Linked DNA regions of Oryzias latipes. The protein of the gene in region 1 interacts with the protein of each later gene in a biochemical or structural test. Links are inferred from orthologs where the notes say so. Each region holds a gene or a part of one and is shown on either strand. Other genes may lie near its edges.

Region 1 (5,894 bases):
CTGTAAAAAACAAAAACAAAAAGTCCATTAACGATCTTCAAGAACTCGTCAGTTCAAATGGGAAACAAAAACAGAACATTAAGATCGCATTCAGGCAGCACTAAAAAAAGAAAAAAGGTTTGCGTTAAAGACCCACTCCAATGAAGATTGTGTTTTTGGTGTTTTTAACATGTTCTTGTAACATTTTTCTCATGATGGAGGACATGTATAGAAGAATTGAAGCTTAAAACTGCATTTCTGAGTATTTATTATTCCAACTGTGGTTAATCAGGGCCAGATGAAAATGTGAAAATGCTCTCAGTCTCCCTGCTCCCCCTCACCCGACCTGGCCTCCGGGTCAAAACTGCACGGCTGGATAGCGTTGATATTGCTCGCCATTTTTGTTGCAGCAGTAATGTTAGCTTAGGGTTATGGGGGGCTGTAAGCCAGCGGTAGAGCGTGTAAACAAAGGGATCACGGCAAACGAGCGGAGGTCTATTTCCGCGGCCACAGCCCCTCCCACAACTCAGAGGCGAGTTTCAGATGAACTCCTGCTGCTCTGTCCTAGAAAACAACACACTTTTTTTTGGCTAAAAACAGCCTAATCTTCATTAAAAGACCACTTGGAACGCTTTTGGTAAACTGTATGTTAAATGCGTAAAAAGGGAAACACATCAGGTGCAAAACATGAATATTCAAATAATTCCTAGCTTTCATAAGCGTTAAAAGTAATTTAGTACTAACTTTACTCGTACTGCATAACTCAATAATTTCACCAACAAGGTTGAGACTAGGGGAAGTGTCTTTGGAAAAAAATAAAATAAAATGTAAATTCTTCCCCTCCAGCTGTAGGGGCATTTGAAGCTGTAGTGGTGTCCAAAATGCTTCTTGAGTGGAGAGGTGGTAGGGACTAGCTTAGGGCTAGTTATCCCTCCGTCAGTAGGGCAATCTGCATCGCACATGTGTGGGGAGAAGAAACGCGTTGCTTTACTTGTTTCACGATGAGCCATAACTGCAGGGGTAATGGAAGAATTTGGATTCGGCCCAACAAACGTAGACACAGGGACCTCTACAACCAAATTTCTCAGGAATAAAATGACTTATTTTTATCTAATTTAATTGATAACGATTCATCAAACCATAGATCACCTAATATTTGACAAAAGTTAACTAAAACAATATTTACAGTTTCAAATAACCGGATATATTTGTGAAAAAAATTATAATTTAGAAACCCAAGTGATGGAACGATGCAGCTTGTTGAAGGGAGTTGTTTTGTTGAGCGGACAAAAGCCAACAATATTTTCAACATTAAAACGAAATACACTTTTTTTTAATGAATTTAATAAAATAGGGAGCTTTTTAACCCACTCTAATGAAGGAGCAGATGAAATAAAATGCAGTTTGAAAAAACTTGTAGTTGTGACACAGAAGCTCCTATGGCAGGCCATTAGTGTAGGTCTTTGTTTTCCTCGTCTGAGCTGGCATCTGGGTCAAAAATGTACAGCAGGATAGCCCCAATAATGTTAGGTCGGGGGTTTGAGGGGCTGTAAGATAGCAGGAGAGAGTCTCTAAACAAAGGGCTATTGGGAAGTGTGGGCAGGCTTACATCGCACCAACAGCTTTGAGATTTCAGCTAAGAGGCAAAATTCTAATACACTACAGCTGCTTTGCAGAAACTATGTCCTAGAAAACAACAAAAGTTTATTGATTTTGGCTAAAAACGGCATAATCATGATAAAAAGACCAATGTGAATGCTTTTAAAATAAATCAAGATGATCGGAGTGGGACTAAAATGTGTTTTTCCCCTTTCTTTAAAAGTGTTGCATGTAATAGTATATAAATATAAAATTTCTTATGGTTGATTTCTTTTTTTCCTCTTCTTTTGTAAATAAATAAAAACAAAGTTATGACTTGTGGTAACAGCTGACAATTACAGAACTTAAATTTAAAGATGGAACAGTGATTTCTTCCTTGTGATTTTTTTTTCATGCATTCTTGTTTGATAGTTAATATTATTTCTGATTACTTGGCTATTTTTTTTCTTTTTTTGGGGAAAAATGACCACGTGCTTCTTTTTAGTCTTGCAACTACTGTCATTTAGGTTGCACGATGACGGACGGATTCATCACCTAAATAGTGTTTAATTGAGGAATTATTAAAAGGTGACCTTTATTATAAATATAATTAAATTTATTCTTCAACAAAAGACAATTTTCTCCCCACAAAATATTTTTTAAATCTATTTGGAATGAATGAACACCTAATATAAGAGAGTGGACACCGTCTGGATTTAAAGCAGCGTTGCACATGAGGTGATCGCTCCTGACCAATCACAGCGCGCCTCTCAGACTTGCTATGCCGATCAGCCCAAGACACAGAGGAGAGGGAGAGCTGCTTCAGGAGAGGTTACTATCGAGCAGCCGCGCGAGGGTTACTGTCGGTTAGATTTTCGGGATCACCTTAGCAAGACATGCATTGCCAAACACTGTTTACACAGACCACCTTATCATCTTACATGTCTGTCGCTATCAAAAATAAATATTTGCTATTACAAGTAAATTGCCAGAAATTGCTTCAGATTTATCGTAATAAAGTCGGTTTACACAATTTGTAATGAAAATTACGGGTAATACAAATCTTCGTAATAAGAGCATAGCAAGGCAGTTTAACAAGCGGATTGTTTGTGGCGTTTAAATGTTTCATATGATGATCAGCCATGACAACATTTTATTTCGGCAAAAACAGAACAATAACTCGGTCAAGTGGGGAACCTGAACTCAGCAAAGAGGAATGAACGACAGTAACCCCTGCTTGTGAATTATGCTGGGGGCGTGGCCAACTCACAACCACTTAGCAGCACGTTAGCTTTAAACTATTAGCTTATGGCTGTTTTTGATTTACTGCACCACTTCATATAGTATGATAAACGTATAAATGCCCCAGTAACATCACAATGTATTGTCCCATCTTGCGTTTAAAAGTACTTGTAAGTTAGATGGCAAACGTCGGTAGCTTCTCCAATCTTCTGAGCGAATATTCGACAGCTAATTAAGCCTGCAAACTTTCGGTTCTCTAACTCTGTTTAACACTTTATATCAACAGAACAAATAAACTCAGTAAAAATAAACTTGCACCGCTGTAAAGAACGTTAATGCATAGCGGTATGTTGGTCTAAACATTTACACAACTGGTTAACAACACAAACATGTCGCATCTTCTTTACCATCAATATCGTTCAGGAGGGCCGTGTCGATATCGCTGGGGTCATTTAGCGACAGCGTGGGATCCAGGTTATCCAACGAAGCATCATCAAACGATAGGCGATTCATCTTTACGGTTGTAATGTAACTACCTCTGCTCTAGTGTAAACTTGCCTAGTTGTCCAAAAATTTTAAGAGGAAAAAAATGGCACCCTTAAATCTCTACATTTGACCGAGTATCGGATTACAACGTAACCTGCAATTTCCAGTCAATCAACTGTTTTTACTCATGTGTCAACTATCTACTCAATCCTGCCACCATAATAAACCTGGGAAACTTGTCAAACCGAGACAAACACTGAAGCTCATTCAACACGAACATGCTTGTAGTGGAAGCCGAAGGAACCCTGCCCCACTGGTGGATGATTGACACATGAACCGGCCTATCAGCGACTGAGCACAGGATTCTCACGTTCTCGTTTCTTGTGATTGTTTTGATTAAACACAAAATAGTATGACTATAAAGAGAAAAGTCACTATTTTACAAAATATACTTTTTTAAATCAACATTTGTTAAACTGTTAAAGTTACACAGTTTGAATAAGTAACGATATTTCAAAAACTACATAATTATACGCTTGTAGTAGTCCTGAAGTACAACAATCCACTTTTGTGAAATTAATTTCACAAATATATTCTACCAAATTGAAAGTTAACGAAAAAAAGCATGTACCTGTTTTTTGTAGGCTTGCCTTGAACAGCCAATCAGCGGATGCATGGGCGTCACCTTACTAGCAGCCAAGTTTGTTTGACTCGAAGCGAGGGCTCCTTCTGTAGAACCAGTACAATTGACCAATAGGAATCTCGGAAAACGAGTGGGGTGATCCTACGTCACAGCCACGAATCTAGTGATTACATCATGTAATCATCCTGTAAAAGTAGAGTCGGCAGCTGGGTAGCAAATTGCACACGCTCCTGTTGCTTTGGAAATACAATAACGCTAAATTTTATTCACATTTTAATTAGAAATAAACCCTCAATACCCATGATGAAGTTTTTTTTCATGTAAATACATTAAATGTACCCCTACATCAGCAACTGCTAATATAAACAATGTTTCCCAAGTAAACATGAGCTCAAAATTAGACGGGTAAAATAACAATAACTGCGAGAGTAAGTCACTGACCTAAATAACACCATATAGTTATTGTTTTTTTTTATGTAAACCCGTATTGTTTCAAATGTAGGGACGTTATCAACGTGAGCACTTTTTTAATATTGCAGAGGTATGTGCACATACACAAGTGGGCAAAATCGCAGAACATAAAAAACACCTTAAAAATAACTTTTTTGTTTAGTTTATATAGGCTAAAAGATAATTCATTATGTTTTTCGGGTAGCAACAATATACATTTGAAGACGGAGAAAATAACACACAGTGGATAATAATGACAACATTTTGAGGTAGAGGTCACACACTGCTAGTGTTTTATTGGGCAGTTACATGTGTGCATAAGGCCAACCCAAATCTGACCATCATTACTGACAGCAGACATTATGCATGGAATATCCAAAGACAGAAAACAGGCCTGAGGTCCCCCCTCCCCATCTTTGACTTGTTGACATCCTGCATAATGACATTTAAAAAAAAAAAAGAAGAAAAAAAGCAGCAACCTCTTTTTTGACAAAACATTAAGGAATTCATTTTTGTACTTTCGAGAAACAATGTTTCAAAAAATACACTGTTATCCACTCAAACAACACTCAAAAGAATACCTTGTTAAATTTTTAGTGCCTTTCACTGTCAGCTTGGATGGTGCATGTTGTTTAAAAAGCTACAAAAATCACCAGGTAGACATGGTAAATGCATGTAACCATATAGTATGAAATGAGAAACATAAATCAAAATTGGTTGCCTAAATAAAATTCCAATATTTCTACCGTATTTAGAATTATAAATCATAAATGTTTCTCTCCACTTGGGCAATTGCATAATAAAATACTGATAAACGTGGCGTTTTAACTGCTTTTTATACGCATGGCTTCTCATAATAAATGGACACAAGTGGGACGTAATGGAAAATGGAAAGAAGATAAAATTCAAATTTTTGTGTGTGTGTTGTTTTTTTGCATACGCCAAAAAGATAAAAGTCAAAGCATGTTTGCAAAAAATCTATAAATGTCAGATGCTTGGCAGCAGTTTAAAAGAGCATATGAATACAAGAAAATAAAAGTAAATGGATAAAACAAAATGTTTTGGCTGTGGTATTAAATATAAATTAACCTTGTAATGTTTTCAGAAATTAGCTTTAATATGTTCTTGACTACATTCAGAAGCTAAAAGTCCAACATTACGAGGTATTCTTGCAGCACTAAGCAGGTACGGACTTAAGTATGGAAACAGGTTTTGTGCAAAACTAATATAGTGAGACATCTGTTTTGCCCTTTTACTGGATTCTGATGCAGGTGCTTTTTATATTGATCATATGGAGATGCTTTTTTTGGTTTTGTATTTTAATTGAAACTGTTTTAATATCCTTGAGTGAATTTGAAAGTGGGATGTTTGGCAGGTTTCCACTTTTATGCAAGTGTTGCAGATATAAGTTTTGTGCAAATTAACGATATATCTTTTAAAAAAATAATTATTATTTTTAATCTGTTTTTCCTGCATTTTTCCACAAACAAACTTGTCAAAATACATTTGACAAGTT
Region 2 (6,035 bases), on another chromosome or scaffold:
GTAGCCATTGTCTACTAAGACCATGTGGTGTCGGGTCGTTAGGTGTCCTTTTTCCTCAGCTGGGGTGGGGCGACAGTAGCTACCCTGCCCAAGGAGGACAAAGGACTCCTAACGACCCGAAACCCTGTTGTCTAAAGGCCCGTACACACCGGGACGAATATTCGCCAGGCGTTATTCGCCAGCGTTTTTCAACACGTTTTTTGTGTTCACACCCAGGCGATTTTCGCTGACGATGAGCCGAGCGAACATGCAATTTCATTCCCTGACATTACATGGCGCTTAATGTAAACAGAAATACTCCTGTACACAAGGTGGCGCTGTGCAACTTTACGCTTCTTAAAGTCGCTTTTCACTCAGAAGAAGAGAGCAAGTATTTACGTGCTTGTCAGAATCAAACAAAGAAAACATGAATATTTCCAGCACCAGTAGCTCCAGTTCCAGCGATGAAGAAATTATTGTTCTGTTTAATGATGAAGGACGCCAGAGAAGACGTCGATTTTGGGTACATCCCATAGTTACAAGAAGAGAAGAACATGGGGAGTTTTATCGACTGGTACAAGAGCTGAAAATGTATCATGAGCGTTTTCGGGGATATTTTAGAATGTCCGTCAGTGAGTGCATCTTCTTCGTCTTATTTCTTCGTGGCAGTGTAGGTGCAACTTGACGTCTATCTTCTTCGCTGGTATGTGTGCTCAGCAAGGCAGTTTTGTGTTTGAGCGCCCCCAAGTTGTGTTTTACTGTAACTGCAGAAGCTCCAGACACGTGTGCAAAAACGCCGTTCTCATTGGTCGTGTAGTTTTTGACGCGGTGCGTCAAACCAAAAAAACGAACCCGAGGCGTTTTTTAAAAAATGACGCTTTTACTCGTGGCGTTTTTCGCGTCGGTGTGCACACTCACATTGGTGCCCTTTATTTAGTCACAAGGCGTTAAACGCCGGCAAATATCGCGCACGAAATTCGTCCCGGTGTGTACGGGCCTAAAAGGCTACGTTCACCCTGCAGGCTGAAACGACCCAATTCCAATTTTTTGCCCCTATGCGACCTGTATCTGATCTTTTCATGACAGTCTGAACGACACAGATCCGATTTTTTCGAATGCGACCCAAGCCAGTTTGGTATGTGGTCCTGAATCGAATACGTATCCGATCTCTTCGACCTCTGTCTGAGCGGCCAGGCCACATGAATCCGACCCGTACGTCATCGATACGCTACAAACGTCATCATTCTGCATTGAAGTAGGCAGGAACTAGATCATAAACATCAACCATGGCGAAGATGCTGCTGAGACCAGTCAGTGTTAGGGAAGTGAGGTCACCGATTGGATTCATATTTCTCTATTCAGGCCAAACTCCAGGGCTCTTACCGTAACCGGGCAGTTTTTGAAAACATTTCCAGCTAAATGGCTGAGGGTACAGACGATCCTGGCTCCTCACATCAGTATCCCACCACTCCACACGTTTCTCTGTACAGACTTGGCTAACACTGCTTCAAAAAACGCCATGGCCACAAACTTTCCTCCTTTTTAAATTTCTTTTTAAAATGAGAAGATTGTAATTATTCTGGCTCCTTTGTGAAAATAAATGTAATAAAGCAAAAATAGCTCTGCTGTTGACAACACTGTTGTTGACATCCATTGCTAACGTTAGCTACTTCCATAAACAACAGTGACGTCGGTCACCGTTGAGGACTCTTCTGCGCATGCCGGTCACTTCTGGGTCATTTCAGGGTCAAACAGGAGATCACAAAAGATCATATTTAATTGGAAATGTGAAGGACCTTCACAACGAACCATCTCTTAAGTCCAGATGACGGCCCCTAAACCCACTACTATGATGGAATCTACCTGGATGAATGAGAGGCTTCATAGACACATAGTGAAATATGTTTTTCATCTGAATTTAGTCAGAAGTGTGAGTTAAATCATTTAAATGTCACAAACATTTTGGGGGCTTTAGTTTAGTAAACTTGGGCCGGACCAGAGAAGGAAGAGACAAAAAAAACCTTCCAACCTTAGCAAACTTGAAAAACGGTCTGGGGTCTCGTCGGAAGTATTCGATGTCGAACATCGACTGCGGATCGGGAAGGTCGGGAAAGTCGACAGCAAGCCGAGCGTAAATCCCATCTCTGGAGCGAAAGTCGGGAATTCCACAGGAAACTGAAACCTGCGAAGCAAACCGGTGTTTACCGTTTCTTTACCCAACATGAAGGCAGAAAAAGCCCTTCTGGGGACTGAAACACCTACACCTGCACCGGTCAGAACCATGATCCTCTTGCTCTCATGAAGCAGTCTGACCACGTCCTCCACAGTGTTCACGTCTTTTCTCTTCTTCCTTTTGGGAGGTTCTGAGATGTTGATGATGATCTGCCACAGGGTCATGTCGTCCAGATCGGGTGGGAGTATGGTCTCGGGCAGCAGGTCCCGCAGAATGGCCCTGGGGTCCGTCTCTCTGATGTGCTGATGGATCAGACTGTAGGAACCTGCACACGCACACACCTGAGCTCACAACGGCTTTGCAGGGAGACGCGGAAAATACATTCCTGCCTCATTCTGACCGATCTGGGGCTGCGGAGTCCAGTCGCTGGAACTAGCATGAGAGGATCCGTCATCGTCGTCGTTAAGGTGTTCTGGTGTGACGGCGAGACCGTTGGAGGGAAGATCGTCAGCCCCGAGGAAGCCTGAAGAGGGCAAAACCGGCAGGTCAAAGGCCGAACGCCGAGACCTCTGCCGCCACACGACGCGGACCGTATTCATGCTTCAGGAAAGGATGACTAAAATGCAGCTGAAGGAGCTGCTCTGATTGGAGCCACCTCAACTTAATAGAACTTCAATCATATAAAGGGAATTCATTGATTCCTGGTTAATTTCTTAATTTTAATATAAAGGAAAATTCCTGATTTCTGTTTTCTATTTCCATGTTATAAATAAACCAATAACTGATGGATCTTAAGATTCATTAATGACACCTAAATCTATTCTATTGAGATTAATAACTTTAATTAGAAATTCATCATTTCTAATGTTTGGATAAATGTGGAGCTTTTATTTCATAATTAATTATCTTTACATAAGAAAATCCGGGAAATTACCTTAAATTAAATCCCGGAGTTCAGTTTTTGACTGAACTCGATTGATGGATTTTTAAACCTCTATTTTCCAGTTGGGTTAAACGGTTTAGTTCCGCCAAAGTTTGGACTTTTAGGTCAACACGAGTCACGTGGTCAAAGTCGGCGAAGTTCTCGAACAGGAACGAGAACTTCGCCGAGCATCGGTTTGTTTCCTGCCGCTTCCGGTTCCTTTCATCTTCGGTACGTCGGGCTAACAACCAGCCGTTCCGAGCGATGAAAACACGGAGCCCTTCGTCAGGGAACCAGAAGTACTCACCCGTTCTCCCCTCAGCAGAACCAAAGCCGAAGCTCAGCCTCTCGGCTGGGTTCGGCGGCTCGCATCCCAGCAGTCCCAGCCCATTGTTGTCTCCGCCCGCTGCGGCCTGCTCCCCCGCCATCGCCGGCTTCGCCTCCCTCTCGGCCCGCTGCTCGCAATTCACCGCCGCCTCCCGGCTCTCCGTGGCCGGGGAGACGTAGGAAAACGGCTCCGCCTCGATGGATCTGAAGACGCGGTCGTCCGGTGGAGTGATTTTCGATCTCTTAGCGGCGGGTTCGTCCGCAACGCAGGCTCCAGAGAAGGCCGCTCGGTGGCTGCTCTCGTCGTCCGCCATCTTCAGCCCGCAGGAGCCGCCGAGCAGACAGCTGGCTCATTTGCATAACGCGCGTGATGACGTCTACCATAACAAATGACTGATGCCTTCATGAACGGTCGGACAAAAGAAAGACATTAAAACATATGCAAAAATAATAATAAGGAAAAAATAAATAACGAAGGTGAAAACACCTCATTTAAAGATTATCAGCAGCATTAACTATCGAAGTAAATATGTCTAATAAATAAGATTGAGTTCAGTATCAGACAAAGAATTTACAAGTGACCAGAAAGTTATCTGCTAGCAATGGTTATTTTTCAAAGCAGACGTCACACTAACTAATAATTAGTTATAAAAATAAAAGCCATCTTTAAAAAAAAGCTCTGATATAAAATTGCATGCATGAACATTATTATTACCATTATTGCATATTACGTTAAACGTATTAAAAGTAAACCGAGTGTTAAGGTTTTCTGCTTGTTAAAGGTTTTTATGCTTATTTAAAATTAGACTTTCACTATGAACTTGGTAAATCAAACACTAAATCACAACCACGAAAACAGTTGCACACTGAATTTTTAAGCAAACATTCTCAGTAAAGTTATTTTTTATTGCTGTAAAAAGTATTAGATTTTTTTAGTTTAAAGCGTTTTCTTCCTCTGTTGACGGATTTGGAGAATTCCAGCATAAAAAGGCAGAAACTGAATCAAATGTATTTAAATCAAGAACTTCTCTATCAGCATTCTGAAAACATATCAAAATATAAACGCTATAATTACAATATATACTTACACATTGAGTTTATTTTTTTGAGGTTTAGTATTAACTGGAATGACCCAAAACGGGAGTGTTTCCTCCCATGACAAAGGAGGGTCCTCGAACGCAACCCACGTCACATGTTGGTGAGAAAGTGAGAGCTTGTTCGGTTCTTTTAAACTCAGCTGATTTATCAGCAGAATCCCAGTCCAACCAGAACCAAGAACCTCAGCGGCATCCCAGGAAGAGGGAGTTGGTCCATCGACCTTCCTGGATCAGAACCGCAGAGATCCGGTCCGGTAAAAGAAGAGCCATGGATTCCCTTCTGCGCAGTAAACCGGAGGACCGGGAGGATTTTTACGGAGTGCTGGGGTGCGACGAGCTGTCGTCCGTAAGTTCTGATGACGTCATTCCTGCCCGAGCTGCAGGAAAAGGAAAACATGTTTGTCGACCATTAACAACCTGCAGGTTGATCATCGTGAGAAAAGAGACCACGTGACGCACGAAGAGATGCTGCACGCGCTCTGTGCTCTGTGGCGTCAGAACCGAATCCCGGACCACAGGTGGTTGAAGCCGATGACGTGACCACCGAAAATCTGATTATCATCCTCTGATTTATTCAGTCAGACTATTGAAGTGATCATGTTAACAGGATAATCCGATTGCCAAACTGGTTTACATGCCCTCAAAACCCAGAGAAATGGGAGTAATCAGATCCTCGAAAGTAATCAGATTACAGTTGCAAAAATGAAAACCACATTTTTAATTTTATTCTGAAAGTCCTGGCTGAGGTGTTTCCGTCTCATATCAGATTTATTCCAGTCTGTCTGCACGAAAGACTCAAACTTTCAGTCCTCTTGATGGTTTATGGATCAGATCAGCTCCTTAGGATCAATTATTTGATAGTCAGTTTTGTATGATCACTCGGTTAATTGAATATAAAGGTCAGACTTTTAGCATTTCAACAGGACAGATAAGTGGTATAGAAGTTTTTTTCACCAATAATTTAGAGTTATATGCAATTCTCAATTGACAATTGCTGTTTTTTTATTTTATTTTGAAAATTGTCATATTAATTTGTAATTTTTAAATATTGATTTCAAAATATTAGAATTGCAAATTACACGATCAAATAGCAAATGTAATGTCAATTGAGAAATGCATATTATTTTGAGTTATGGTTGAAAAAATTACATAAAGTCGACATATTGTTTAAAATTCAACCAACAGATTTTAGCGATAATTCTGTTTATACGCACAATAAAAATACAACAAAAGGTTAAGTTTAAAGTCTGTTGACTAAATTTCAGACCGGATTCTTCAATTGACAGATTTCCGGGGTGCATATGAACACATCACATCTGATTGGTGCTCATGCAAACGGAGTCCCGTCAATTTTAACGCACATAGTACGACTAAACGCTGGAACTGTGTTTTTAGACTCTAAGCGGATGTCGTCTGGGATTTTCCTCAGACTGAACAGATCCTGAATGAATACAGGATCCGAGCTTTGGCGCGTCACCCGGACAAACACCTGGACGACCCGCATGCAGGTAAATACCGGTGACTCCTTTCCCATCAT

The links. The genes of interacting proteins can lie anywhere in the genome.
Region 2: of the proteins of srebf1 (region 1) and sirt1, one has a biochemical effect on the other in vitro, tested with the Homo sapiens proteins (2 studies listed by BioGRID, with this or other methods). The link is inferred for Oryzias latipes from reciprocal best matches to the Homo sapiens genes SREBF1 and SIRT1.

Annotation. Positions count from the first base shown.
Region 1 is NC_019866.2:12,398,684-12,404,577, reverse strand, and holds the start of srebf1 (sterol regulatory element-binding protein 1), read right to left. Parts: upstream 3,576-5,894; 5' UTR 3,313-3,575; coding exon 3,207-3,312; intron 1-3,206.
Region 2 is NC_019873.2:29,789,907-29,795,941, reverse strand, and holds the start of sirt1 (NAD-dependent protein deacetylase sirtuin-1), read right to left. Parts: upstream 3,751-6,035; 5' UTR 3,716-3,750; coding exon 3,382-3,715; intron 2,676-3,381; coding exon 2,553-2,675; intron 2,478-2,552; coding exon 2,242-2,477; intron 2,162-2,241; coding exon 2,009-2,161; intron 1-2,008. Other genes in the region: dnajc12 (dnaJ homolog subfamily C member 12), read left to right, coding at 4,557-4,844, 5,928-6,006. UniProt on the Homo sapiens protein: NAD-dependent protein deacetylase that links transcriptional regulation directly to intracellular energetics and participates in the coordination of several separated cellular functions such as cell cycle, response to DNA damage, metabolism, apoptosis and autophagy.